2 linked regions of the Tamandua tetradactyla genome follow. The protein of the gene in region 1 purifies or fractionates together with the protein of each later gene. This does not show direct contact. Links are inferred from orthologs where the notes say so. Each region holds a gene or a part of one and is shown on either strand. Other genes may lie near its edges.

The links.
Region 2: the proteins of NPC1 (region 1) and PON2 purify together in Homo sapiens (affinity purification with mass spectrometry; 3 studies listed by BioGRID and IntAct, with this or other methods). This does not show direct contact. The link is inferred for Tamandua tetradactyla from reciprocal best matches to the Homo sapiens genes NPC1 and PON2.

What each region holds. Positions count from the first base shown.
Region 1 is NC_135344.1:59,857,836-59,873,451, forward strand, and holds the start of NPC1 (NPC intracellular cholesterol transporter 1), read left to right. Parts: upstream 1-8,731; 5' UTR 8,732-8,854; coding exon 8,855-8,917; intron 8,918-15,616. UniProt on the Homo sapiens protein: Intracellular cholesterol transporter which acts in concert with NPC2 and plays an important role in the egress of cholesterol from the endosomal/lysosomal compartment.
Region 2 is NC_135327.1:120,446,512-120,462,040, forward strand, and holds the start of PON2 (serum paraoxonase/arylesterase 2), read left to right. Parts: upstream 1-7,371; 5' UTR 7,372-7,468; coding exon 7,469-7,542; intron 7,543-15,529. UniProt on the Homo sapiens protein: Capable of hydrolyzing lactones and a number of aromatic carboxylic acid esters. Has antioxidant activity. Is not associated with high density lipoprotein.

The sequences.
Region 1 (15,616 bases):
CCAGATGGAGTCACAGTTTTAGTATCACAGCAGTGAAGGTGGAGAATATAGGACATATTTTTTTTAATTTGTAGAGGTAGAACTAATAATAATTGATGACTAATTGAATATAGAAATTACAGAAAAGAGAGTTAAGGACCCCTTTAAGGTGTCAGAGTGCCCCAAACCACTCCCAGTTTTGATGATAATGCTGGAAGGACTCACAGGACTCATCATATAGTTGTATTCATGGCTAAGATGACGGCAGAAGGATACAAAGCAAAATCTGTTAAGAGAAAAGGAGTGAGGGTAGAGAAAAATGAATTCAAGTTTCCAGAAGTCCTCTCCCATTGCATTTGTACAGGATGTGCTTAATTTCCATAGTAATGACTTGTGACAACACATGCAAAGTGTTGTCGCCTAGGAAAGCTCATTCGAGACTCAGTGCCCAAGGTTTTTATTGGGAGCCACTCACATAGACACCCTCGACCTATTAGCTACCAAAATTCCAGACTTTCAGAGGGAAAGCAGATATTCAGCACAAACCACATTGTTTGTACAAACAGTTTAGGCACATTTACGGCAAGTTTTATATCAGTGCTGAGAACTGTTTGCCAGCCAAGTTCCCGGATAGGTGGACCTTTCTAAGAAGAGTAGTCTCAGACCAAAATGATTACTCTTTTCTGAACATAAGACTTACATGGTGGATGATGCCATATCTATGGTAGGACATAGGGAAGAATAGAAAATTTGGGAGGAGATAGAGATTTTGGACATGTTCAGTTTGAAGAATCTATGAAATATTAAAAAGAGGTGTTGTCTCGGAGGCAGTTGGAAGTAACAGCTTCATGTTAAGGACCAGGCTGTTGTTATTAAAGTGGAAGTCATCTATTTAGAGACAATAGCTGTGTTAGTTAGATTCAGTTGTCAACTTGGCCAGGTGAGCATACCTAATCTTGTTGCTGCAGACATAAGCCAATGGTACGTGAACCTCATCTGTTGCCAATTACATCTGCAGTCGGCTAGGAGGTGTGTCTGCTGCAATGAGTGACGTTTGACTTAATTGGCTGGTGCTTAAATGAGAGAACAATGTAGCACAGCCTAAGCAGCTCAGCATTCCTCATCTCAGCACTAGCAGCTCAGCCCAGGCCTTTGGAGATGCAGAAAGAAGTCACCCTGGGGAAAGTTGTTGGAACCCAGGGGCCTGGAAAGAAGACCAGCAGAGACCATCCTGTGCCTTCCACGTAAGAAAGAACCTCAGTGGAAAGTTAGCTGCCTTTCCTCTGAAGAACCAACAAAATAAATCCCCTTTTATTAAAAGCCAATCCGTCTCTGGTGTGTTGCATTCCGGCAGCTAGCAAACCAGAACAATAGCCAAAGTCATAGGGTGGATGAGGTCCCCCAGGGAGGCTCCAGTGGAAGAAAAGAGGTGTTAAACTGATGAAGAAACTTTCAAGGAAGAAGGGAACTCAGCAAAAGAGATGAGATGAAATGGACAGTCCATGGGAAATGTAAATCAAGTGAGGAAAAGTTTCGAGAGGATTGGACAAGCCCCAGAAGAAATGTAAGCATATAACATAATGGCAGAGACTTCTTTTGCTCCACAGTGCTGTCCTTGGTGAACCTGTTCAGTCTTCAAAGAACTTTGACCCTGTGACAGGGAGAATATGGATCAATGACTGGTCAGGGCCTAGGGTGACATTAAATTAAAATAAATAGTTTTCTTGAAATGACTCTAGTTATATTTGGAGAATTGTATTTGTGAAACCACTTCTGAGATTTTCTAGGAATCATTGACAGCTATCAGAATTCGTGGCGCCTTGTATGTCCCCAAGATTGAGGCAATATCAAAGTGATTACTTTGTGCCACCAATGGGAATGCAAAATATGTGTGGTACAAAGTGGATAGTCCTGTAAGTAAATGTTTTACTATCTTCATACTTAAATGAGAGAAAATATATTCATCTCTGCTGGTTCATTGGTTTTAATTTGTGAATCTTATCTCCCTATGAAAAAATGCTAAAAATTAGTCCGGGAGAGCCATATTATTGCCCAGCCATGACCAGTGCAATGCCATATTCTGATTCTTCAAACCATATATCCGACATCAGTTCGTAATTTTGTAACTTGCTTGTGATTCAAAATGTGGAGGAAAATCACACACACACTGTGCTGGTTTGAAATTATGTATGTCCCCTAGAAAAGCCATGTTTTAATCACAATCCCATTTCATCAAGGTAGAATAATCCCTATTCAATACTGTATGTTTGAGACTATAATCAGATCATCTCCCTGGATGATGTGATTTAGTCAATAGTGGTTGTTAAACTAGATTAGGTGACAACATGTCTCCACCCATTTGGGTGGGTCTTGACTGGTTTATTGGAGTCCTATAAAAGAGGAAACGTTTAGGAGAATGGAAGATTCACAGAGAGCAGAGAAGAATGACATAGCCACAAGAAGTAGAGAGCCCACAAACCAGTGACCTTTGGAGATGAAGAAGGAAAATGCCTCCCCGGAGTGTCATGTTTCATGAATATGAGAGAAAGCTAGCAGATGACACCTTGCTCGCCACATGCCCTTCCAGCTGAGAGAGAAGCCCTGACTGTGTTCACCATTTGCCCTTCCAGATAAGAGAGAAACTCTGACTGTGTTCACCATGTGCCTTCTCATTTGAGAGAGAAATCCTGAACTTCATCGACCTTCTTGAACCAAGGTACCTTTCCCTGGATGGATGCCTTTGATTGGACATTTCTATAGACTTGTTTTAACGGGGACATTTTCTCAGCCTTAGAACTGTAAACTAGCAACTTATTAAATTCCCCCTTTTAAAAGCCATTCCGTTTCTGGTATATCGCGTTCCAGCAGCTAGCAAACTAGAACACACACACAAAAAGTTATATACTCTATGAACAAAAATTAGAATAATTTTCATTCTCCTCTATCCTAAGAAGTGTCCAGCCTACCTCTTTACTCTGTTTAACTTACTGAACACAATGAGGTAAAACAGTAATGCCAATAAAAATATTTTCTCTAGGCTCTCTGATTATACTTGACTTTCAGTTAAATAATTTATGTATTAGTGGGTCTGGGAAGTTTTAGAAATTTTTCCTGGTGCCCCTACCCTTATTTATAGCAGTATTTTAAACAAGATCATTTAAAAAATACTCGTGAAGTCATGTTTTAACAACTGAAGGAACTTACTAAAAATCTTCAATTCTTAGATGCAATGTCAACGATTTCTTTGTCAACGAAATGAATCACTTCCTCTATTTTTGGTTCTTTTGTTTCTTTTTCCCTCCCTCTCTAGGATTTAATCCTCTGATCTTTAAAGAGGGAAATGCTGGTATTATCCCTACTCCAATTTACTAGGAGCAGGACTCCCGACTTTAGGAAAGGGTAGACCAAAAATCACCCTGGGGCAAACAAAACTGTGACAAGTGACAGAAGTCCTACAGAGAAGGGACTATCAGCTTGAACCACTGATTGTTAAGCTGCAAATTATTGCCACATCTAAGTGGAAGTTACACTGCAACCCATGACTGAATTAATCATTAACTCATGTATGCTTAGTTGGGTGACTAACATTTCATCCTAAATCTGACCAACAATGCACCATTTCTGACTCAGTTGTAACCACTGGCCCTAAGTTGTATCATGGGTTGTAACTGTAAACTATTTTAAATGATGTCTGTAAAATTCACTTAAGTATGTGATTTTTTGCTTAAAGGGTAAAGAATTTCTGTTTGGGTGATGGAAAAGTTTTGGTAATGGTTGGTGGTGATAGTAGCACAACATTGTGAATGCACCACTAAATTATAAACTCAATAAAGTCAAAATTTATAAACATAAAAATATGTTACTAGAATAAAAATTTTTTTAAAAATGATAGAACCGTACAACAAAATGAACCTTGATGCAACCTATGGACTATAGGTAACAGTACAATTAAAATAATATCATTTAATCATTATAGCAAAGTTACTACACTAAAGCAAAGGGTTAAGAATAGGGAAAACTTGGGGGGATATGGGGGAACTCTGTATTTTCTGAATGATTTTTCTATAAACCTACAACTTCTCCAATAAAAAAATTAAGTCTGTTACAGAACCTAAAAGACCTGAGTGCATATGTCAAAAAAATCCATATACAAGAATGTTCATAGCAACTTTATTCATAATAGTCAAAACTGTCCACCAAAGAATATTTACAGCATGAAATACTGCTCAGCAATAAAAAAGATGAGCTACTGCTATGTGCAGTGTAGATGAATGTCATAGGCATGATTTTGAGAGAAAGAAGAGGTAATGTAGAATACAATGAGAATATATAGTATGCTTCCATTTACGTGAAGTTTAAGAACTGTCAAAATCAATCCATGGCAATTGTGGCTCAGTGGCAGAATTCTTGCCTGCAGTGATGGAGACCCGGATTCGATTCCTGGAGCCTGCTCATGCCAAAATAATAATAATAATAATAATAATAAGCCATGCTCATATAAGTCAGAATATTGGTTATATTTGGTGGTGTTGGGGTGATGATATTGACTGGGAAAGGGCATGAGGAAAATTTGGAGTGCCGGAATGTTCTTTATTCTCATCTAGGTGGTGGTTACGAGTCTCCAAAATGACCCCAGTGATCCCCTCTTCCCCATATCCTAGCCCTGGTGTGGTTCCCTCCCACACTGTTTCAGGACTGATCTGGGTAACCATAGACTATGACAGACATGATGGCATGTCACTTGTGAGGTTCAGTATTGCTTTTTCTTGGACCACTTACTCTGAGTTCTGTCCATGCCAGTTGCCATGTCTCGAGGACACTCAAGCAATGTATGGAGAGGCCCACGTAGCCAGGAACTGAAGCCTGCTGCCCAGAGCCACATGAGGTCTCTTGGAAGCGGCTCCTCTAGTTCCCGTGAAGCCTTAGAAAATAGTAGCCTGGACCAACATCATGATAACAACCTCAGGAGAAAGCCTGACCCAGGACCACCCAGATTCTTGGCTGAAATAAGCAGTGAGACAATAAATGTTCATTCTTTTAATCCACTAAGGTATGGGGTAATTTGTTATGCAGCAATAGATAACTAATACAAGTATATAAAAACTCACTGAGCGATACATGTAAGATTTGCACAGTTTATATATACATATATATATATTATACATATATATATACATATATAAACTTTATTATACATAATTTAAAATTATATATATATAATTAAAAAGTTTTTAAGAAGAGTGAAATCTACTACAAAAAAGAAGTATACAAAAATGTTCAACCTGAAACTCCCTAGGGGTCTAGCAGAAGCATTAATTCAAAGTTTCCTATATTTCATCAAAATATTTTGGCTTCTTTGTAGACTGACAGAGCTGGCCACCTATTCCTGTTCCCTGTAGTCAGCAGGACACCCTCCTGTCTACAGATAGTTCTTTATATCCAGCTCTAGCTATGGTCCTAGACCCAGTACCTTTCATTGAGCAGACCATCAGCAAAACTTACAATACCTGTGAATACTACGGGTAGTTCTAGGACATTAGCAGAAAAGCAGGGCCAAGTTCTCCATTAACCACATTAGGCACAGCGCTTACAGCCCAAGATACTTTATCGGGTTTTAATTTTTAATTTATTTTAAAAGAAAAAGAAAAATGAGTATGTAATAATAATATATAATAATGAATATGACATGGATTATGCTTATCTTTATACCAATGCAATTGTAAAATAATTTTTTTTTTGTTTGTGGAGTTAGGGATTCATGAAGGCAAAGGTGCCTAGGGTCCATGGAAGTCCTACTGTGATTCTGAGCAAAAGGAAGGGAAAAGTGGAAACAAAAATAAGCAAAATGAAGTGATGCTAGGTCCATCATTCATGGATGTTGCTCAGATGTGGCCTCTCTCTCCAGCCAACACAACAAGTAAACTCACTGCCCTCCCCCTATCTATATGGGACATGATTCCCATGGGTGTGGACCTTCCTGGCAACGTGGAACAGAAATTCTAGAATGAGTTGAGACTCAGCATCAAAGGATTGAGAAAACCTTCTCGACCAAAAGGTGGAAGAGTGAAAAAAGACAAAATAAAGTGTCAATGGCTGAGAGATTCCAAACAGAGTCGAGAGGTTATCCTGGAGGTTATTCTTCTGCACTAAATAGATATTACCTTGATAGTCAAGATGTAATGGAGAGGGAACTGCCTGAAAATGTAGAGCTGTGTTTCAGTAGCAATGTTTCTTGATGGTGATTGTATAATGATATAGCTTTCACAATGTGACTGTGTGATTGTGAAAACCTTGTATCTGATGCTCCTTTTATCTACTTCATCAACAGATGAGTAAAACATATGGAATAAAAATAAATAATAGGGGGAACAAATGTTAAAAGAAATTTAGATTGAAATGCTAGTGATCAATAAAAGGGAGGGGTAAGGAGTATGTATGTATGAATTTTTTCCTGTTGTCTTTTTATTTCTTTTTCTGAATCGATGGAAATGTTCTAAGAAATGATCATGATGATGAATACGCAACTATGTGATGATTTTGTGACTTATTGATTACATATGCAGAATGGAATGATCATAAAAAAAGAGAAAGAAAAACTGAAACCTTTGTATGTAGCCAAACTACATAAGTTAAATTAAAAATAAAACTTAAAAACCCTGGAGGAGAAAAAAACAAACCCAAGTGCGTGGGTCCATCCTCAGAGACTCAGATTCTGCAGCTCTGGCATGGAGCTCCCAGCAGACACTGAGGCTACTTGTCCAGTAACCACACTGTGAAAACCACTGCATTAGAGCATACTGCTTATCACCATCGACAACTACCAAGCATACATTCAGGTGAGGGTTAGGAAGTTCCAGATATTGACGGAAGAGCTAGCTAGGTTGAAGGTCCAGAGGTGTTCTAGTTTGCTAGCTGCTGGAATGCAACACACCAGAAACAGATTGGCTTTTAATAAAAGGGGATTTATTTTGTTAGTTCTTCAGAGGAAAGGCAGCTAACTTTCAACTGAGGTTCTTTCTTACATGGGAAGACACAGGATGGTCTCTGCTGGCCTTCTCTCCAGGCCTCTGGGTTCCAACAACTTTCCCCGGGGTGATTTCTTTCTGCATCTCCAAAGGCCTGGGCTGAGCTGCAAGTGCTGAGATGAGGAATGCTGCGCTCCTTGGGCTGTGCTACATTGAGCTCTCTCATTTAAGCACCAGCCAATTAAGTAAAAATCATTCATTGCAGGAGGCACGCCTCCTAGCCAACTGCAGATGTAATGAGCAATAAGTGAGGTTCACGTACCACTGGCTCTTGTCCACAGCAACAGAACTAAGTGCCTTCACTTGGCCAAGTTGACAACTGACTCCAACTACAACAAGAGGGAATCCCTGTAGTTTCATTGCAAGCAGGTAGGTGGCCTCCCCAAGGCTGAGGAGGTAAAGATGCAAGAAAGAAACTGAAACACACTCTCTAGAGTAGTGACGGGAACTATCACAATCGTCACCTGCATCATAGCCCTACCCATGGCTGGGTTTGGTGGATATTTACAGGTGAATATTTAGTCTTTTCATTCTAAACTGGCTTCCACTGTTGGGACAAGAAATTTGTAACTTCAAAATGGAAATGACCTATGATTTGGCATGTTTTGAAGAGTTGAAATCTGAGTGAAAAGTTTATCAGAAATGCATACTATAAAAATAAATGCAAGAAATATGAGAGGAATGTACGGTAGCCCATGCCAAACTCTGGAATCTATCCTGTAACCACTTCTTGAAGAGTGCTTTAAAAACTATTGCTTTTTTATTTCTCTGCTTTGTGTGTGTGTGTATATATATATATATACTATACAATAAAAAAATTTTAAAAAATAAGTGCAAGGCAAAATAATACTAAGTACAAAACTCGAAAACGAAGACGCCTCTTAATTTTTGTACTACTTGACTTCACCTGCAGTTTAAAAACGGACTCTGGGGTGGGCCACGGTGGCTCAGTGGGCAAGAATACTTGCCTACCATGCCAGAGGACCTGGGTTCAATTCCCAGTGCATGCCCATAAAAAAAAAAAAAAAAATGGACTCTGGGTCAAATTCTACGAGGTGGGGAAGGTCCCCTGCTCCGCACTGCTTGACCAGCAGATGGCGCCCTTCTAGCGCTTTCTCCGAACGTGGCCCAGCCCCTTTAAACCCAAGTCGGGTGGACGCAGGGCAGCACCGCTTCCGCGCTCCGCCCCTCGCGCGCTTGGATCGCCGCAAGGTCAGGTCACTGCGCGTCGCCGCCCCGAGCTTTGCTTGAGGATATCCTGGCACAGATTCCTTTTGGGTAACTGGGTTTGAGAGGAGAAATTGCTCGGAGTGTGTATTTGGGCCGGAATAAACTCATAATTCGCTGAAGAAGGGGTTCTTAATTGGGAAGACACGTCTCCAAATACTCGTATTTGCTAAAATCTTCTCGCCCACCCTCTCCAACCAGGGGGCGCAAAAGGGGGTAAATGAGTTAAAGCACAGAAACCGCATGCTGTTGGCACAACTCAAGCGGTTCACAGCCACAGCTCTGGGAGTCCCTATCCCACGCCACGACCCTGCGCGAAAACGGCAGGGTCGGGCCGGGGAGATAGCGCTCTGCCAGAGACAGAACTGCCCGCCTCCGCCCGGCGCCGCCCGCCCCGCCAGGCCCCGCCCCATCCCGCCAGCCTGCGCTGGGTGTTAGCCCTTGGCGTCCCTGCAGCGGCACCGCCCAGAAGTAGGAGGAGCCCGTGACGCGTTCTTCCTTCCTGACTTGCGCGCGCAGCTCGCTGTTGCCGGTCGGAGTTCCCTCTGTCCACCCGCGCCGGGTCCTAAAACTGAACGGGGACTTGAGGCGGCAGCCGACGCCCGCAGCCTCGGCCCGGCAGCATGAGGGCGTGCGGCTCAGCCCCCGGCCTCGTCCTGCTCCTGCTCTACTTCTGTCCCGTGCAGGTGAGCGGCCACGGCGCCCCGGGAGGGCTGTGGGGGGCTGTGGCGGGGCCTGAGTCGGAAAGGCCGGGGGCCGTGCCCGGGCCGAGCAGCAGCCAGACGTCCCCGTTCCCAGACGTGGCGCGCGTCTCGAGCGGTGGGATCCGGGAAGTTGGTCTACCTCTGGGTCCCCGGAGGTCCCCACTCTCCGGCTTCTGACCCGGGCAACGCTTTCCTCTCTGTAGTCCGCCAGAGAGTAAAGTGGGGTCTGCTTGTGTGGCCTGCTTCGTTTCAGCTGTGGCCACCTCGTTTCTGAGTGTTGGATTTGGGATTAGAAGGAAGGAAGGAAGGTGGGTGGATTTATTACCCTGCCTTTTTTTTTTCTTTTCCTTCTTTCTTTGTAAATTGTGACACATGCCCACGAACTCTGTACAGTTGTTGAGAAGATCCGACCACTTCATTTTCCTTTTCCTTGCCAGAGGATGGATGGGGGGGAAGGGAAGGCAAGGAAAAAACAAAACCAAATTGGTCAAGCACGAAGTTGTAACAGTCCTAAGAACTTGACATTAGTCAATTGGTCTTCCAAAGAGTGCGTACGAAAAAGTTCGTATCAACTCCTTTTTATGTCTCTGGAAACCGAGGCCCAGAGGAGGGTAATTGAGTTTCCCATCTCCCCCATGTAATTAGGGTGTGTCCCGGAACTCGGGTGTCCTGATTCCCTGGGCTGGCTTTTGTTTAGAGTAGGCATGAGTAGGTGGTCATGAGTGCCTCACCTCTATTTGTGTGTCTACAGTTTCTTAAAACCGGGGCATGGGGAAGCTGTAAGGGTGTGCTGATTACAGGCAACTCTGGGGCTCGCCTACCTATTAAGCCCTTCACATAAAAGTGTCAACAATGAGAGGGCCAGTGGATCAGAGGGGAAGGCAGAGAAGGTGTTTCCCTGGACTAGAAAAACCTCCCCTTAAACTTCTGTTATATGGGTCTCAGAAGGGGATAGAGGAGGCTCACCCCATAAGGGTCCCAGAGCTGGGAGTAGAGGAGTGGCCCTCCTCTTTGTGGGTCCCCAGCAGTGCGGGTTGTGGAATAGCACGCCTCTGGTAGTAGATGAACCCAGGGGCACCTGGCTAGGACAGGAGGCAGAGGAAAGCAGGTTTCACTGGCTCTGTCATTTTGGGCAAATGACTCAGCCTCAGTTTCTGCTGAGCATAAATGATGCCTTATAGGGTTATTGGAGTTATTAAATGACATGACATATAGAGAGACCTTGTCACTGTGCCTTACATTATAAAAATTCAGCAAATAGTGGCAATAATGTGTTTTAAAGAAAATACAGCTATTCAGCTTCCACAGAACTTTAGATAAGTTCTGTGTGGTAGACAGGCTTCACCTTATTAAGAAGCTTTATTTTATCGCTGAAATCCTTTTATCTTAAGGTATCCCAGGCTGTTGGCAGCTGAGTGCCTCTCCTCCTAGGACATTTGGGATAGGTCAGAAGTTAGTCATGAGTCTCTTGCAAAATGCCTGTAAGGCTTTTCAGGGTCTCTAAATCTTAACTGGAAGCACTCCGGTTATTTGTTTTTAAAGTTTGCTCCCTCGTTGCTGCAGAGACTTTCTGTACACATGAACAGGTGGATGGAAACCTTGGAGAAGAGTGGATCAGGAAGGGGTGTTTGCGTTTAGCAGCTCACCTGATTGCAATCTGAGTGCTGTTAACAGTCAGTCATGGAATTGCAGACTGACTGTCCATCTCAAGGTCTGAGATTCATTTGGGGGGAATTTTTACTTTCTTAAATGTTTAACAGTTGGTGAAGTAGCATTACCAGGCTGCGTGGCTTTTAAACCTTGTGGTCATCTAAATACTGTGTGCAGTCTTGAGAAATAGTGTATATTTCTCCTGACTAATTTTTATTAGCTTTTCTTGAGGAACTTGGAACATAGGGAGGCCTGGGTAGAAACTTAGCTATTAAAATGGCTTTTCCTGAGGAGGTCAGGAATGGGTTTGCCTTTGGACTTGGGTGAGTTGAACAACCATATGAAATTAGAGTGAAGTTCATGCTTTGCTTGGATCTTTTGCTAACATAAATAAGTAAAAGTAATCAGAGGGAAATGGGGCTTTTTATTTTAGCGGGTGGGCAAAGAGAAAAGGACTTGCAGAATAGGTCTTTGTGTTCCTTCAATGTTTGTCACATTATCCGGAACAAAGAATCCCTCTGGTCCTGAAGACAATGTGATCTCTGTTTCGTGGGTAACCCTTCCCTACCCTCCACTTTCCCAAAAGGGTGTTTAAGAATGTTCCATTACCTGCAGCTGAAGCTCAGATGAAGATATCTCTAATCTGGTCTCAGGAGGCCCTTCACCCACAGCTCTGGGAAGGGTGTCAATCACCAGCCAAACTAAACTACCGGATTATCTATGCTTGGCAGGCTAAATTGGATGAGGTTTCACCGGATGTTCCACTTGGCCAGGAAGGCATGTCATTCAGGACCTGTTCCTGGATCCAGTGTGGCTTCTCCAATAGCCGATAGATCAGGGATGGAATTGGCCTCCTGACCTGACCTATGGGTTCTGTTGCCACACTGTGTGAACATTCCATAGGCAAAAGCCATGGACAGTATATACTGACATCCACTCTCACGGTTTTGTTTTAGTCTTTTGGTTTTTTGGGTTATTTTTGAAACTTGTGGGTGGTGGAGCTCCTAAGTGACCTTGGGCTAGTCACTTAAAGAAACTGTTAGAGGGGTTATCTGTAAAATGACGATGTGGCCTAGTTGAGCCCATCCTATGTAAACACCCAAATACAGGTGAGCCAAAAGCACCTGCAGGTACCTTTGCTATGTGGGTGTGTTCACACTCGGTTGGCTGTAAAACAGGTACAGAGAGTTCCATCAAATAGAAGTCAAACTACTCTGGTATTCACCCCAGATCTCCTGCTAAATTTGTTGGTCTGCCTACCTGACTCCAGATGAAACAGCAGGCAGCTTATATTCTGGGCATGATTGCCCATGTCACTCCCTCTGACTGTCCAGGCCGGCTCTCTGCTTGCTCCTGGGGCACTGGGGAGCAGAGTCAGCCAGAAGCCTTCTCTCCCTCTCTTGCTCCCTGGAGCTTGAACTGGGTGTGTCTCCAGGTTCCACCATTAGCTTTACCCATGCAGGACACCTGCAGGAGAAAGGAGGAGACCCCAGCCCTGCGCATCCCCACCTGTGGTGGGACAGCAGACTACAGGCCAGGGCTTGAGGACTGCCAGTGGTGCTTAGCCTAGATGTACTTTAAAAAATGTAAATGCTAGTCATTTTTACAAGTGACAAATATGCATAGAAAAAAGGGGATGCTTAGTAGGCTCAGAGTGAATAGGACTGCTGGTCTCTAATTCATTATCAAATCTGAGGATAATCAGTATACAAACTGGAGTGAAGTTTGAATGGTGCAGTGGCTAGGGCACGTGTGGTGGTGGACAAGGGAGATGAGGTGGAAACCATTTAACTTCGCATTCAAAAGTCTTGATTCTCATTACTAGTTCTGTCATTTTTGAGCCATGTGACCTCAGGATGTCGTCTCTGAGCCTTAATTTCCTTACCTGTAAAATACTGTGGTACTGCTTACTCCATTGAGTGTCAGAAATAAATGAGAAATCACATAATGTTGATTTCAGGAAGTATTTAAGCATTTGGGTTCCTGCTTTAGCAGGATTCACTAAAGGCAGTCTGGGGTGTAGGATCCTTTTGCTGATGTTCAGAACTTCTCCATGTGGTAATATATGTTTCTTATAGAGTCTAATTTAGAGATTGCTATGGTTGCTAACATATAGCAGAAGAGAAAGTTTTTAACCTTCCCTGAACTATTCCTATTATTTGCTTTCCTATCCAGACACACCCAATAAACTCGAGAGCATGTTGTGAAATATCTACATGACCTAACCTTTAAAAGTAGGCACACTCTAGCCTTGTAACTACTAAGTTCTGTGCTAAAGCCCAAACAACCAACAGTTCTCATTTCTGAACTTCTTATTTAATTCAGTTGAACTCCTATAACTCGTGCATTTTGATGGTTTCTCAATCAATAAACATTGGATGAAGTTCTATAGGAAGTTTACATCCTGATCTCTGTCCTTTAAGAGTTTATGGTCTTACTGCAGAGTCAAGATGAAAGCAAGAAAATATTGTTGCAACCTCTTCCCAGTCCATTAACAACTTTGTGATTCTCTTAAACCTAAATTGGGCTTAGTCCTAGAGCAGGAGCCTGTGTATGAGTCAAATTTAGTTGGGCCATTCCTGGCCCCACTCATCTACCTATTTTCTCTGGCTATTTTTGAGCCACAACAGGTGGGGACAGATTTGAGTATTTGCAGCAGAGACCTATGGCCTTCAAGCCTATAATTTAATACTTGGCCTTCTAAGAAAAAGTCCTTTTGGTGGGTCCACAAAGAAGCTTGAGGAGTTGTTTTAATTTCCTGGCACCACAAATACCATGCAATGGGTTAGTTTAAACAACAGAAATTTATTGGCTCATGATTTTGAAGCTAGGATAAGTCCAGAATCAAGGTGTCTTCCAGGTGTTCTTTCTCCCAGAAGAGTGTAGTGTTCTGGGACTGGCTACTTGTGATTCTTGGTCATTGGCTTTTCTGTCATGTAGCAGTGCACATGGTGGCCTCTCCTGACTTCTCTGGATTCCATTGACTTCGGCTTCTTCTTGTGGCTTTTTTTCCTCTCTGTGTCTGAATTGTATTCTGCTTATAAAGGACTGCAGTAAGAGGGTGAAGACATGTCCTGATTCAGTTAGGCCACATCTTAACTGAAGTAACCTCATCAAAAGGTCCTATTTACAAGGGTTCACAGTCACAGGAATGGGCTAAGAACATCATTTGTGGGGTACATAGCTTCAGGCCACCACAGGAGCATAAGGGACAGAACCAGATGCCGCCCACCCGAGCCTGTAGACACAGCGTCTTGCTGGCTGGAGCAGTGAGGAAGGATCCTCTGGAGCTCCAGCTTCACTCAAGGCTCTGCCATGTGCTGCCAGGAGTGGCCCTGGCTTTCCTCTCAAGGACAGAAACGTGTGTTCTGAATATCACTGAGAAAGGGGGTGAGTGGCAGAGAAGCCAGTGGGGAGGATCTTCAGTCTTATTTCATGTATGTCTGTGGTGTTTGAATAAAGTGATATAGAAAAGGGTATCTGTAATTATTTATTTACAACATTTTAAGGATTGGAAAAAATAAAAATAAAAAGATGTGTTTATATGCTGTTGTTTTTAACTTTTTTATTGTATAATTTAACATGTATGTTGCTTAGGAATAAAAAAATTTAAAAAAAAGAATTGGCAAGAATTAAATATGTTTCTTGTGGTTATGAATAGCTCTGTAAGATTGGTAAATGTGCTGGTTTGAAACTATTATGTACCCCAGAAAAGCCATGTTCTGTTAATCCAGTCTTGTAGGGTCAGACCTATTAATGGGTAGGACCTTTTGATTAGATGAAGATGTGATTCTGCCCATTCAGAGTGGGTCTTAATTAGCTTATTGGAGTCCTTAAAAGTGCTCATGGAGAGAGAAAGAGCCCAGGGCAGCACAGAAAGCAGATGCTTAGACACAGACATTTGGAGATACAGAAGGAAAACCCCCGGCAGAAGCCAGAAGGATGCACAGGAGCTGAGAGAGCCGCTTAAAACCATCCCAGGAGAGCCAGCACAGTTGCCAGGGACCTTCTCACGTGATGGAGGAACCTGGGTGCTGCCTTTCCTCTGAAATGGCATCCTCTTGTTGGTGCCTTAATTTGGACATTTTCATGGCCTTGGAATTTTAATTTGTAACTTAATAATTCTCTTTACAACAGTCAATCAATTTCTGGTATAGTTCATTCTGGCAGCTTTAGCGAACTGAAACAGTAAGTGACCATGAGATGTACTCTGAAGGATTGTTATCACTATTTGGACTTGAGCCCACAGATACTTAAATGGGGCTTTAACAAAGACAAATTATTAGAGGCTCTGGGTTTGTCATGTGACACTTAGATCCATAATCTTTGATCTGATTTGAGCTGATAACCATTCTTATTTGTTTAATTTGAGAATGAGACCTGAGAGCATGTTTTCTGCAGTCCCTGACACTGGCCTTGCCTGTTACATGGCAGCGGGCTTCTGAGCTCATGTTTTTGATTAGATATGCATTTTGGCTATGGCAGACTCAAATATTGTTGGATTTTATTTCAGTCTTGGGCATACTTCCTTCCTCAAGTGAATCTTAATCAGTATTACATATCAGCCCCAAAGGATTCCTTGTATCATAGTGAAGTCAGCTTTTAGCCACATGATTTGAATTTGGAAATCAGTGCTTTGTTTACATGAATGCATGTGAACTCTCCCAGCGCCCTGGGTGTACCCTTTGTCTTTGTGCTGGCACCTGCTGTTCTGACAGCCCAGGAGAAATATTAAGGTACAGCCCCTGTGTTAATAAAGCCTTGCCACCCTGCTAAAGTACAACAAGAGGAGTGAGAACTCTTCTAACCAGCCAGGCAGGCCTTGCTGGGACCTACTGCAGCTTTCTTAGGTGCGGCCTCAGACGATTTCGGCCTCCCACCTGTGAAATGGTGTTGTGTCAGCACCCATCTTGCAGATCTGTTCTGAGGATGAAGTGTGATCAGTGGGCACACCTCACCAGTACCTGGACACCAGGGCTGTTGCTGGTGCTGTGCCCTCATGGAACAGAACGTATGATGAAGTCTCAGGAG
Region 2 (15,529 bases), on another chromosome or scaffold:
CTTTGGGAGTTGGAAACTGGAAAAGGTTTTTGGAGTTGTGGTGGAGAAGTGGGAGATGGGAAAAAGTCTCAAGCCATAGAGGCATGAGGGTCTGGAGGGTGAGGGTTGACGAAAGTTTTCTTGTGGGGACTGCAAAAAATAGTGATAAAGGGCCTAATGAGATGACACATATACTGGAGATGAGGCAGTGAGTGTTGGAAAGGAGCACACGTTCTAGGGCTTTCTTGGCACTCTTGACAATAAAGGCAGAGAAGCTGTAAGAGGGCGGGACATACGCTAGGCACACACAAGTAACTCTGCAGATATCTTTTCAGCCCATCCCCCACTCTCATCTTCCATTTGTTTCCAGGCTCTGTCGAGAGATGTCAAATAGCTTTCATTCCCCATGGAAAGCTAGTGACTGCATGGAACACTGCAGTGTGAAGAATTTCAAGACCACACATTCAGAGTCAGGAGAGAGGGGAGATGGCTGCATCAGTGCCAATGTCTGCTTCTCCTAGTTTAGGGTGAGTCCTAAAACTCAATTCAATTCCTAGTTCTCCATCCTACCTTTCATGTTTCAAGCCGTCTCCTAGTCACTTATATTTTTATGATGGTTTCAGGACATTATCTGTACTACTTTTCTTAAGGCCCAACTTCAAACTTTCTTGAAGGTCATCTACTCAGCTTGCTGAGTTCTGGGCCAATGATTCCCAACTCTCCATTTCCAGATAAAACTTCATTCTTGAGCATTAAAAACTTGTCTTTTGGACTTTGAGCACATCAAATATGTATTCCAAAATGTAGTCATCATTCTCAGGGGAAAAGCTCACAGCTAGTTCACTCTCATTCACTCATTTGATCAACCCAAGTGTATGAGTTAGGGTTCTTTAGAGAAACAGAATCAAGAGGGAATACTTGCAAATATAAAATTTATAAAAATGTCTCACGTGACTGCAGGAATGCAGAGTCCAAAATCCACAGGGCAGGCTGTGAAACTGACGACTCCAATGGAGGGTCTGGATGAACTTCACAGGAGAGGCTCACCAGCTGAAGCAGGAATGGAACCTGTCTCCTCTGAATCCTCCTTAAAAGGCTTCCCGTGATTAGATTAAGCATCACACATTGTAGAAGACACTCCCCTTTGGCTGATTACAAATGGAATCAGCTGTGGATGCAGCTGACGTGATCATGATCTAGTTCTATGAAATGTCCTCATCGCAACAGACAAGCCAGCACTTGCCCAACCAGAGAAACAGGTACCACAACTTGGCCAAGTTGACACATGTACCTGACCATGACACCAAGTCATCTTCAATGCCTCCTTTCCCCCACAACATATCAGTCACCCTTTTCTATTAATTCCAACTCTGAAATTCCTTAAATCTGTTTCCTTTTCTCCTTCCCTGCTGCCTCTGCCTTGTTCACATCTGTACCTTTTCTCTGGTTGACTTGGAAAATAGATTTTACAATCCACCACACAGCAATCAGATTTATCTGTGTAAAATACAAATGTTTTCTCTTCCTTGAGGTCTTAGCGGCTCTACAACACACGCAGGATAAAGAATAAAGTTCTTAGCCCTGACACACAACACTGCATATGTTTGTCCAGGTGCTCATCTCTCTCAGCAGACGGCAGTAGACTATGATGGCTGTCAAGGTAGGAAATGTAAACCTCCATTATCACTGAATTATCAGTAACTATTTGGAAACACAGGATATATGCAATAAATGATAAGTGAATTAAAGCAAGTAGGCAGAGAAAAAGTATAAGAAGCAAATAAGTTTAGACTATCTCTTGTGAAAATGTACATGAGATCATTTTCCAAAACTCTTACTATCAGCTCATTCATTTCTGCTCTTACCAGGGATAGCAAAGGATTAAAAATCTGTTTATTTGACAATTAACAAAAGATGTATCAAGGGTGGGGATAGGGTCTGGGCATACATTTTTTTAATATTGGATCCTAGATTTAGCATTTTCCATTTTCCAGGAAAATTTTCTGCACTTCTTTTTTTAAACAGAAGTGTGATGGTAAATTACTTAATCTGTGGCTTAAATTTCCTTACTTGTAATTGTAAATGTAAAGTATATGGAATAGAAGTGCCCCATAATTAATAGTTGTGATAGTTACTTCAACTGGCCCTTCATTAAGCCCAGTAGCTTCTGAAAGGGGATGCACATATGGTTCATTAATAGAAAACTAGAAACAATTTTGCTATTAGACAATAAAAATAAAACCATGCTTGGATTTCTTAGAATAGGGCTCAGGCCATACAGATGGAGATATGGAATTCCTGTCTCTGGTCTCCCTGCTTCTTCTCCTTCCCAGCCTTTTCTATCCCTCTGTCCTCTCCTCCTAGGATTCTGTTGCCCTTTGGAGAAAGGCAGCAAAGTTCTGTGGCCCTCTGTGGAAACAGGCTTAGGTCGAGTGAGGACAGGAGGGCTATCTGATCTAGACTTCGAATTCACAAAGAGCCTTCAAGGCTGACTTTCAACATTATCTCAGATTTTGTTAATTAATATGTCATAGAAATACATTTACGGGACTGAAAAATCATATTCATTTAAAATTTGAGTTCCATGACTTGTCTCCTTCTCTAGTGAGCCAGGAAAAAATATTTTTTTATAAACTGCATATTTTTATGACTAGCACATTATAGCATATTTTATTTTTGTGTGTAATAGGTTGAACCATTTGAAATTGTTGATTTTTTTTGGGGGGGGGGGCGGAATGCATCGTCCAGAAATTGAACCCAGGTGTCCTGCATAGGTGAGCATTTTACAACTGAATCACCTGTGTACCACTGATATTTGTTTCTGACCTCTACAAACAATTTCATATGGTTCAGGTTGAACTATGTAAATAGTTTAAAATATAGAACCATTTCTTCTACTTCTGTTACAGCATTTCTTCACTGTCTTAATATACTGGGATTCTCAGAAAATGGCTTGGCTGATGGGGGTGAGGGGAATCGCCTTCATTCTTGGAGCAGTCCCAGAGCACAGCATCTACAAGAAAACTCATTCTCTTGCTGAAAACAACCATCTCTTATAACATATCTTCAATGCATTTTTGTGTTGAAAGAGCTACTTCTTTTTTAAACAGAAGAATGAAGAACTAGGAATAAAGGGGATATTGGAGAGACCTCCATCACATATTATATAAAATGACAATAATCACATCACCTACTTCACAAAATTACCATGAACATTACATGTGATCATACACTGCAAGGAACCTTAAAGAGTTAAAGGTACAATCACAAAATCCAATGCCACTTAAAGTGTGGTCTAAGAACCATTTTCGGTCTGTGAAGCCTTTATTTCTGTGAGATAAGTATGAAAAATTGACAGTAAGTGTCTAGGAAGTGTAATAGAAATTTGACAAAGTAATTTCATGTCTGTTATATCAAATAATAAAGAATCCGAAAATCTGGAATTGTATTTTGTAGGTCAGATTTTGTATTTCATTCTATAGTAATTTATTTTCATTGTATTGTTCAAAGGTGATAGACTAGGAATGAAGAAAAACTGGTCTTTCACTACTGATAGTATGAGAAGCCTTGATCTATGGCTATTTCTGAAATTTTGCTTAAGATTCATTAAATTCATAATGATAAACTAGTCTTAATTTTTATTTTTGAAACCCTGTTTCATGCCAGTATTTCATACCATCTGGTAACATGCCAGCATACAAACAGTTTCCAGAACAAGTCTGCTCTGTATTGAGTAACTTGGTTATTTGGTAGTCAGCACTCATTTTCCTCATAAAATAACTTAGGGTTATATCCTTGGCATAGCTTGTAAATCCAAGTTATCTCAAAAGATTGCTAAGCTATACTACAAAATTTAATAACTAACTATAATATTCTTATGATGGAAAAGATAGGCCTCTGATTTGCAACTCAGAAAATCTCTCTTTCCCATTGCCTGTGAGAAATGATGGTTCCTGGACCTAACATGGGAGTGGGAGCAAGGATGGAACTACTTCTGTAGAAGTTGCTTCAGTAGCAAAATCAAGTAGAAGAGTATGGGGGAATTAGAAGGTCAAGTGTGAGGGAATTCACTGGCCATGTTAATAAAATTAAAAAGAGAGTACTCTGAGATTCTCTAAGATTGAAATTAGGCAGGTTTTGCTGGATTCAAAACCCTGACTCTTTATTGCAACTGCCTCCATGTGCTAAACTTCAGGACAATGGGCTCCTTGAGTGACCCAGCACCAAGATGTCAGATGGACTTCATTCTGAATTGAGGGCTGTCAGCAACTATCTTGAGGGTTTTATTTGTCTTTTACTTTTTTTTTTTAAAGATAAGGTAAGGACAATTCTGGGGTTAGTAAAAATATTGCTCTGATCAATTAGCGATGTCTATCATGGGCAAGGGAAGAAGGGAAGGCCAACAAAAGAGCTGTTCTTTTGCTATCCTGCATCGAGTCTGAAAGGTGCAAACTTTCAACCCTTTCATTTCTGTATTACAGCAGAGACCAGGAGGAATTAGGAAGAACATGACTCTTCCGAAAATTTAGGAAAAAACAAAAGATGTGAAGGAATGTGAAGGAATAAAGAAAAAATATATAATAGGGAAACTTACCTGTTAAGATTGAGACAGGTATAATAAGTGAGTACATCTGAAAGTTGCTAATGGTTTTCAGTTTTTATAATATATAGGCAGAAATGGCCACAGACAATACATAGAGAATCCCACACAATTTGGTCATCTTATTTTCTTATTTACAAGCTAAGGTTTTCTCACTTTGTGGCACATGTGAGGAGGCATCTGATCTGGTTCCTGACCTAGTTTCCATGAGCCAGAGATTTTTTTCCTTGGCTCTACCTTGGAAAACTTGGGAACAAGACTCTCAGACATAAGAAAGAAGGCCACGCAATAGTCCCGGGCCCAGTGTTTTAGATCCTCATTCTAAATATGGAGTCCATATGTAAGGGTCTTCTCTTCTTCAATTATTGACACCAAAAATATCCCTAGTGAGAAGATCCCACTACAGTACCTACAAAAGCATAGATAATCTTACCCTATGGTGGGGTTCTTAATCCAAGTAGTCTATGGACAGAATTCAGGGGAAGTTTAAGAAATTGGATAAGAAAAAAATAGGCCTTTATTTTCAAGTGTAACTTAGCTTTTTTTCTTCATTTATGAAGGTTAGGCACCAAACTGCAGAAGCATTAGCAGCATTCGTGACTTTGCTACTAATGGAAATGATAGCTATTTTCATTATTACATTGCAGTTGTTGCAGATATCTCAGGATAACATTTACACTGGTCACTGTTTGAAGATGATGCTATTTAATGTGTTAATAGTGTAGCACACATATTACTATCAGCACAAATTTGTTTTAAATATTTTCACAATCGCATTTCAACCTCAGCGATATCCTTTACAATCCGATGTATTTGATTGGATGCACACAATAATATACATTATTATGAAAAAATATCTGTAGGTTTACCAGACTGCCAGAGCAGTCCAAAATACAAGAAAATTAAAGCTCCTGCCTATCTACCATCCAACATAACACAATATTCCTTGGGTCTGAATCAGAAATACATAAATGCAGAAGCACTGGGGTCAGTTTCGGGGGGGATGGGTCTGGAGGTAGGGCAGAGGAGATGAGAAACTGGCAACTGATTTCATTTACTGGTTGCCCATAAAAGCCACAGTTTATTCTGAATTTATAATTGTCTGTGGCCATTTCTGCCTATATATTATAAAAACTGAAAACCATTAGCAACTAATAAGTGAGATGTACTCACTTATTATAACTGTCTCAATCTTAACAGGTAAGATTCCCTATTATATGTTTTTTTCTTTATTCCTTCATATTATTATTGTTAAAGAAAAAAAATCTACCTTCATTTCTGTAAGCTGAGTTTGGATCAAAAAGAACTTAGGTTTCTAGTTCAAAAGAAATATTACTAGAAACATGATTTTTCTTTCCTCCCATTTATATGTTGTTATGCAGAGTTGCAATTTCAGTGTGAAATGTTTTAAGACATGTTCCAGTTTCCTTCTCCTATAATAAAAAAAAGGATCTTTATAACTTTACTCTAACCGTATCTCATATCACATACAAAAATCAACTCAAAATAGATTAATGACCTAAATGTAAGAGCTAAAAGCATAAAGTAGTTAGACAAAAACAGGAAAACCTTCATAGAGTCTCAGATACAACAGCAAAGCATAAGCCACAAAAGAATATAAAGAAAAATTCTAATTCTTTTATTTTAACATCTAGAATATATAGAGAACGATAACTGAACAACAAAAAGACAATCCATTTTAAAAATTTGGGGGACATTTCCCCCCAAAATGGATACAAATGGCCAACAAGCACATGAAAAGAAGTTCAGCATCATTAGCCTCAGGGAAATGTAAATCAAAATCACAACGATATGACACTTCGCTCCTACTAGGATAACTACTATTTTTAAAAAGAACACTAAAATGTTGGATAGCATACAGGGAAATTGGAATTCCCAGATGCACTGGTGGTAATGTTTTCCCCAGCCACTGGGGAAAACAGTTTGGAGGTTCCTCAGGAAGTTAAACATAGATTTACCAGGTGCCAGCAATTCCAGTCCTAAGTATATACCTAAAAGAATTGAAAGCAGGGACTCCCACAGATCACTGTACACCAATGCTCATAGCCAAAAAGTTGAAACAGCCCAAGTGCCCATTAAGAGATAAATGATAAAATACAGTGTATACATACAATGAGACACTATACGGCTGTAAAAAGCATTGAAGTTCTGATGCCTGCCACTACATGGACCGATCTCGAAAACATTAAGCTAAGTTAAATAAACCAAATACAAAAGGATACATATTGAATGATTCCACTTATTTGAAATATCTAAAATAATCAAATTCAGAGACAGAAAGCAGATTACAGGTTACCAGGACCAGGGTGGGGGTGGGTGAAGTTGGGGACTAGGGAGTTTCTGTTTAGTGGGATGAAAGTTTTGATATTGGATGAAGATGATGATGACAGAAACACAACATCATAAAGGTAATTAATGCCACTGAACTGAATTTTAACCATTAAAAATGGTTAAAATAGTAAATGTAATTGTTGTATTACCACAAAAAGTAAATTAATTAAAAAAACCTTTATTCTAGACTGTGCTTAACCGACTGGACTAAGGTTTCTCCTTGAAGATTAGGGAATTGACAGAGGTACACAGGCTGCTTCAGGGTTGTGAGTAGTTTGAGAAAGGAGGTGAAAGAATTGTTTCACACCGGCAGCCTAAAGAAAGGCCCTGGGAGACCGTTTCCCCTCCCGGGAAAGTATCTAGGGAAATAGGTCTCTGGTGAAATGGCCAAGGGCCAGGCCCAGGGCGGAGCCTGGCCGCTGGGAGACGGAGCCCGGCTGGGGCCGGAGATGGGGCGGAGCCGGCCGGCCAAGCGAGAAGGGGCCGCCACCCACAGTGCTCCCGGGCTGGGCGATCGGCGCTCCCAGCTCTTGCGCCATGGGACGGCTGGTGGCTCTGGGTCTCCTGGGTATAGCGCTGACGCTCCTGGGGGAGAGGTTCTTGGCGCTCAGGTAGGTGGGACCGTCTCGGACCGAGCCTTGGGGCGCGCTGGGCGCCTGGATGCTCCTTCCCGGGAGCTTCCCCAGGCCTGAGTCCTCGGTTTGGGGAAGGGGAAGGGAAGACCTTCGGGGCAGCGGGTGGTGAGCGCTCAGATGGGTGGAGGACTATTCTCCCCGCTCGGGAACCGCGGCGAGAGGTGAGGAACTTTCGATTGCTCTGTGCACCAGCTTGTTGAACACTCCCACCTCCAGCTTCTGGTAAAACTAGCAAAGTTTGGGCCGAATCTCGTGATATTTTATAAAGTTTATAACTCTTGACCACTTGCAAAGTTCCTTTCTGCCCGGGACAACCTAGTGTTTTGGAATTATCCAGGAGCAAACCCGGTGCTTTAATTGGAAAACAAAAGTATTACTCACGCATCGAAACTTTAATTTCTTTCAGGTCATTGGTGCTGCTTTTCTTTGTTGCCCAAATCGGCGCCAGTCCTTAATAAAGTTGTTTTGCATCCTTTTCCTCTTAGTTTGAGATTCTCCTGCTCTCTAATCTCGGCGCTGTAGATCAAAAACCTTTGAGATATTCAGCTACTGTTGTTACATCACTTCTTTATTTATCTATTCAATCCGGAGGCCTGAGTCCAAAATGCCAGTTTAAGCATTCCTAGGAGATATTGGAGTTTTAGTTAAAAGGAAAAATCGCTGGTGGATATACATATTTTTGAAATCACTAACTTAAATTTGATGAGCCTCAAGCAAACGAATTCAAGAAATATTGAGCCACCCAATTGTACATAAAGTGCTCTCATAGGTTCCTGTAGTACAGGAAGACACTAACTTTACTTTTAAGAAGTTTACTGTATTATAGGGGAGGAGAAAAATAAACAAATATAGTATAAATTGGGATGTCCAGACAGGTACAGAAGAACCCGTGTAGGCCTAAAAAGGAGAGATTACATCCTACAGTCACAGTTCAGGAGACAGAACAAGTCATTTGACATTGGCCTTAAAGGATGGTTGAAGCACTCATATGTGGGGATGAAAGAAGTCATTCCAGGTGGAAAGTGCAGCATGAGCAAAGGCAGTAAGAGGTTTGGAGACTAGCAAATAGACCAATCCGAGGGGAGAATAAAGTTAGAGATGAGAATCATAGGGGTTGGGGGAAGGATAGGTTCTGAGGCTGTTCAATTTAGGTTAAAAAATGGGGCCTACTTTTTTTTTTGATAGGCAAAAGGGAACCTGGGATATGTATATATCAACAGAAATTTGAGCCTGGGAGGATGGATTGGAGTAGAGGCCTCAATCCTAACCTTAGGATCTCCTGGAGAGCCGATTCTGATTCCATTGGCCTGGCTGAGGCCCACACAGTGGTGATTTTTATTTTTAAAACCTCTACTGATAATTCTAATGTCTAGCTACAGGGAAACTAGTTAAGGTTTTAAAATAGTTTGGAAAGGGTAACAGGGGCCCAAACTTTGAAACCTCAGAGATGAGAAGCAGTCCTGATAAAGCAATACAAGGTGAAAGAACGGTGCATGACGGGGGGCAGATTTGGGGAGGCGGAGCAGTGAAGGGACAGAGACAAAGTTTTTTTGGTAGGAAATGGACACATTGACCCTCATTTTCATGTTATGTAGATGTCCATCCTGCTCTGCAGAACATTCTTGAGTTAGATGATTTCATATGATCTGTTTAGCCCTCAGTTTCAAAGGCAGGACCAACAAAATTCACAAACCCACAAAGTTGTCACTAATATTCAAACTACCAATGCTTCATCAAGTTGGAGTTTTCATAATTAAGTCTTTTCTTCTTCTTAATCTTAAGATTTTAAACGTGTCGTTTTGAATGACAAATATTGCAAACCTAAGGAAAAGCAAAAAAAGTTTATTGACATAGGACCTTATTGACTTAGGTACTGACACACCTAGCATACCTTATGCAATTTATAATTTGACACATATTTTCCTTATAAAAGACATGGACATATGATAAACTTTACAGGACAGTTACTTTTGGGGCAGTAACCAATGGGTAGTAGAGCCCATATTGGCTGATGTGAGTATGTTGGTATGGGCATAGGATTGCCAGCTTTAGCAAATAAAAATCCAGGATGCCCAGTTAAATTTGAATTTCAGATAAACAATGAATGCTTTTTGTATAAGTACGTCTCATGGAATATTTGGGACATACTTGTACTAAAAATATATTTATCATTTGTCTAAAATTCAAACTAACTGGTGCCTCTGTTTTTAGAGCTAAATGAAGATAGTCATGTGATTGAGGAATATTGAGTGCCAACTGTTTTCAAAGTGCAGTGGACTGCTCAAAGGTACAATATGTCTTCTCTCAGAACCTTAGAGTCTATTTGGAAAAACACAATGTTCCCACTGCCCTGTAAGGCAAGGCTGTCAGAGGAACAGGAAGGAATAGAGGCATTTTGATGTTATTTTCATGCTAATCTAATGTTTATGATTTCACTGTTCTATTTTTAAAGATGGTACTTTATCACTCAGGTTATAGTCCCAGGTAGAAAAATGTAATCAAAGTTGTCTTTTTCTTTCTAAACTGTTGCTGGCTAATGTTTCCAGGGGAAGATGGCATAGCAGACCCACTGTTTCCACTCTTCCCTAGTTGAACAATAAAGGAGAAAGTGGGGGAAAAAAATATTGCCAGTTCAGGTACTCTGTGTTGCAAGATATATGGCTTCAAGTGAAGATGTGGGTGTTGTCAGAGACTCTCTTAAAGATGGGTAAGGAACCTTAAAAACAAGTGTCTGAACATTCCGCTTGATGACTAAGACCCTTTAAGACTGCTCCCTTAAGAGACAGTTCAGACTGTATTTGAACATCTCTGAAGGGGCAGCCTTTCTTCTTTCCTAACCACTAGCCTCCTTTATTGTGTAAATATTATGTACAGTGTACTGCACAAAAGGTGTAAAAATTGCTTTAATTAAACCAAAATGTGCATTTCCTGCCATTTGGAAAGAAAGTCACCTTGTATATATGCCTTCATTTAGTCTACATAAACTTCTTCCTTCTTGTATTATAGATGTAAAAACTGGAGGCTTGGAGAGGTTAAACAGGTAGTCCAACAGGTTTTAGTACCTGGTCTTTGGATTCCAAGTACAGTTTGCCCCAGTTCTGCCACACCCTGCTTTCTTCTCCGCCATTGGAACGACATTTCTCCAGCTTTCCATGCCTGAGCCTACATTATTAATTACTTAATGCAGGATTTACAGGGATCCAAGGAGTAAATTCCAAGGAGTTTTACAAAGTCTGTCTCTAAAAGATAAAACTTTTTCTTTAAAAGCTAAATTTTTTTTTGCTTAAATGTACATAATAAAATGGATATAATAAAATAAAATAAAAGTATAATAAAAGTCTACATAAAAGATAAAGCCCTTGCTTATAAGGATTTCATAATCTACATATTCCAACCCATTAGTTGTTTGTGAACCCAAAGGCAGTGAGATATGGAACAAAGTAATGTGTAGTGGTAATGCCGTGCTCCCAGCCTGCTGAAGGCATGTTGGCACCACAGCCTGGTGCCCCTCACTGGTACCAGCTGGGCTACAAGGTGGTAACTAACAGCCCCAGAGAAGAACACTTGTCTCATTTCACTCTGAAAGGGGGATGCTGTTTCCTAAGTGAAAAAGATAGAGAGTGAGTCACGTAAATGATTGTTGGTTCATGCTTTGTGGTCAGACAGTCTGAATTCATTTCCTTAGCTCCACTGTTTATGAGATCCGGGGCTTGTTATTTCATCTTTCTGTGCGTCAGTGTCCTAATCTTTAATATGGGGATAATAAAACCACCTGCTCCATAGTGGGATTGTGAGAAATAAATTAGTTCATTTGTGCAAAGTGCTTAGATCAATGCCAGGCACACAGTAAGGGTCCAATAAAAGTTCCCTTTGATGACTGTGATGTTCAGGTAACAATCCTTAACTGCTGGGGCCATGGACCCCTTTGAAGTCTGGTGACACTCTGACTCTTTCTCAGCATAATGTTTATAATGCAAAAAAAATGAAATACATGACTAGAGCTAAAACTTATATGATCAAACTATTTTTAAAATCTAATTATGATATGTGTTTCTTTATGAGAGTACTAAATGGATCTAGAGGTAGGTTTATACCTAGCAGTAGATATTTTGAAGTTGTGATAAGTGTAAATGTTATTTTGAGATATCTACAATAACTGAAATGTTATATAAAAATATCTGTGATTTCTCTTGGTGACAGAATGACAGGTGCTGCTAATAGTGCTATGATCTGTTGCCCACATTCATTATCAGAGGAAATACAGTTAGAGGTTAGCATAAAGATGTATTTTTCCCCAGTTCAAGTTCATGGAGCTCAAAATTCTATCAGTGAACCCCTTGAAAATCAGTGAACCCTAAGTTAAGAACACTGATGTGCATGTGTCCTGTGGGGGGTAGGGAGTGGGGGCGGGGGTGCTCATTTCGGGAATGATTACTGGCAATCAGTGAAGGAAGCTGGTATACACTCTTTCCTATATTATACATACTATATAATTGTAACTAAAAAGTACTTAACAGAATTGTAAAAATAGAGAGGCAGAGAGAAAAATTGAAGGAACCTAGAACAGAGAAAGCAAGCAGTTTTCTTCTTGAGTGCCGATTTTAATAGGTAGGTAAGTTTACCTGGAACATTGTGACTGAGGCTGGCTCTAGGTTAAAGGGAAAGAGGGCTGTGATTGATTAATGATGTCTGTCTGCACGATAGCACCGTGGCAACAGCTATGCCGTTTCTGACCTGGTACATTTATAGACCCTATAAACATTCAGAGTTAGGGAGAAAGTAGACTGAAGCAGAAGTAAAAAGATTTTCCTCCTCGCATATCATCACGTATTGATGTTTATAATATTTATCTTACTACTTGTCTGTGTATGTGTGACAGTATTTTTAGACTTACTGATATGCTAGCCCAAAGAGGTTTATTTAGCTTTCTCTTGTATATTCCCTAAACTCCTTGAATGTGTTACCAATTAGAAATGTTCTGAGCTTCAAGTAACACAAGCAAATTAATGGTGGCTTAAAAAAATAAGAGTTTATTTTTCTCGCATGAAAATAAAAATCCAGGATGCCCAGTTAAATTTGAATTTCAGATAAACAATGAATGGTTTTTGTATAAGTATGTCTCATGGAATATTTGGGACATACTTGTACTAAAAATATATTTACCATTTGTCTAAAATTCAAATTAACTGGTGCCTCTGTTTTTAGAGCTGAATGAAGATAGTCATGTGATTGAGGAATATTGAGTGCCAACTGTTTTCAAAGTGCAGTGGACTGCTCAAAGGTACGATATGTCTTCAACCTATATAAAATAATTCTGTAGGTTGGTCATTCTAGGGCTTGTTCAATGAATCGGGTCATGTCAAGGAACTGGCTTCCTTGATCTTTCACTGTTTGCTTTATATCCTTTATTCTTGCCATGTCCAGGTTGCAAAATGGCCACGGTAGCCCCCAAGCTTTTAGCGCTCCTCTTGGATCTGCCTATTCTACCGGGAACAAAAATATCTTTCCCAAAAGCCTAGATCGTAGGCTTACCCCTAAATGCAAAGGAGCTAGATAAGCAAATGTTTGGCTTGCCCATCGCTATAAAGGGAAGCAGTAAGGGAGGAAGGGGGATGAAAATGACTTTATGTTTGTCAGTCAGCAGACTTGGCCAACCTGGAATGCAGAAATTCACTAATGAACAGGGAACCAATAGTTCTACCAGGCCAAAAGCCTAGCACTTTTCTGCTGAAGAAATTTGAAATTCCTAATGGACAAAGAATGAGAGCAAAATCCTCTCTCCTTTTTTTTTTTTTAAATCATAAAAAAAAGCCAAGAAAAGATGAGTTGATTAACTAAAAGCCACGTACAACATTGTGTAATTCTGCAGTCTTATGGCAGTCCACATATCTAAAGTGATACTGTGTAATTACTGAACTGGTTTATGAAGATTGTCCTGTTAGCATAAGGATAATGGTCAATCATTTATGCAAAGCAAAGTTGACTATGAAAATTTGAAAATATTTACCCAGCACGCTCTATTACACTGTTCAAATTTTGTTACCTCAAACAGATATGTTTAATCCATATAGTTTATCTTTGAAATAGGTAGTCATAATTATTGTCACTATTTTTGTTCAAATAGGAATAATAGTAAGTTGTATAAAATTGACAATAATACCAATGTACAATACAAAGACTTGATGTAGTAATCACAGTTGTTACCCACTGACCTCTTTCTACATCTCACGCAATCTTTGGACATCATTCACATTCTTATTTTAAACAAAGACAACTAGGCCCTATTGCCCAAGGGTCATGTAGTCTTACTGCTAAGACAAGAATACTGATCTCACACTTTTCTGAGAACAGTTCGATAATGGATTGGAAAGGGTTAATGCCATGTGGGGCCTGACTCAGCCTTCCTGCCTGTGTGCAGTATCTAGGGAAAGTTCCTTCACCTTTCGGAGTCAGTTTCCTCATCTGTAAAATAGGGATAATGGCACTTAATTCACAGGATCATTTTAAGGATCAAATGAATTCATTCAGGTAAATCACAACTGTGATATACTCAATAATTTGTAGCCATTTCATTCTTGATTTCCTTTGGCCCCCATGATTCTCAGCATCCTCCCCCTCCTCCTTACCACTGTTACTTCTGGCACTAGGTTACATCATATATACAGTTAATTCTCATTATTCACAGTAGTGACGTTCTGTAACATCACAGCAGACACTGGCTTAGCGAATACTGAGCCACCACTCCTAGGGCAAGGAGAGGGTTTGGTTCCTGCAAGCCTCTGGTTACAGCATTTTCATCCACCCGTCAATCATACCTTGCTTTATGTGTGTTTCTGTTTAAAGACACCTTATTTAATATATTTTGTTGATTAATTAATCTTGAACTCTTGGCTAACAGCACTGCAACTCATGCTGAAATGAATCTCATCTAACACAGATATCCTGGTTGTAAGGCACATCACAGCCTTCTTGCACACAAGAACACTAGATAGTGCTTCAGCACTGTGCTTGGGGGTCATTTTAAACAGTGAAATCACCAAAAAAAAAAAAAAGAGCACAGAAAATATGGGACTAAATGCACCCCTAATAAATGGACACACTTACAACATGAGAGTGTTGCCTTGGTCGGCCCATTTGAGAAAATGTGCATCAGGTGTGATTTAGGTTTTGCACTGCTCAGCACATGTCCACAAATGACTGTGCGAGTACCGTGAGATACTGACTTGGGGGTTACTAATACATTTTAGTGAGTAGGTGAATTCCAAGTACAGGATCTGTGAATAATGAGGATCATCTTTTTTCCTTTTTAAATCATTACTGGGACATTTCGGTATGAGATTTATTGTAATTTTTTATGGCTTTTTATGTTTCAAGCAGTGAGTTGTGTGAGTCCAAATGCTCACTTGTATTAGAAATTTTATGTGCTATGAATCACCAAAACATTGACACAACCTAGTACTAGTTCCACGATACCCAGACCTAGACGTTCTTCCATGTTGCTGATAAACCAGTAGTAGTCTTACCCATATTCGGTGTCCAGGAGTCAGAGGCTGTCAAGGATATCATTAGGGGAAGGACAAGGGGCAAATTGATATTTTTTCTCTTAAGTGTGTGAAAAAGTGTGAACCACTTTGAAAAATGTTAAGTACTTTGCAAGTGGGCATTAATGCTATTACTTATAGCTTTTAGAGAATAGAAGGAGAAGGTGAGGAAATGAGAGGAGAGAAGGGAAAGCCTGTAGAATGTGTCTTTCAAAGCCACAGACCCCACCTGTGTTTGCCCAAACCACTTCAAGGTTTTCTGCTTTAGGTAGAGAGGAAGGGAGAAGATCTCTTATTAGTATTCAGCATTCCTTAATTATTTCTACCTTTTAGTTTTCTTGAAGTAACAGTAGCAAAACTCTCACCCTGTTAGTTTGTGCCCTCCAACCTCCCCACCCCAGTGTATATTGACATAAGAATGG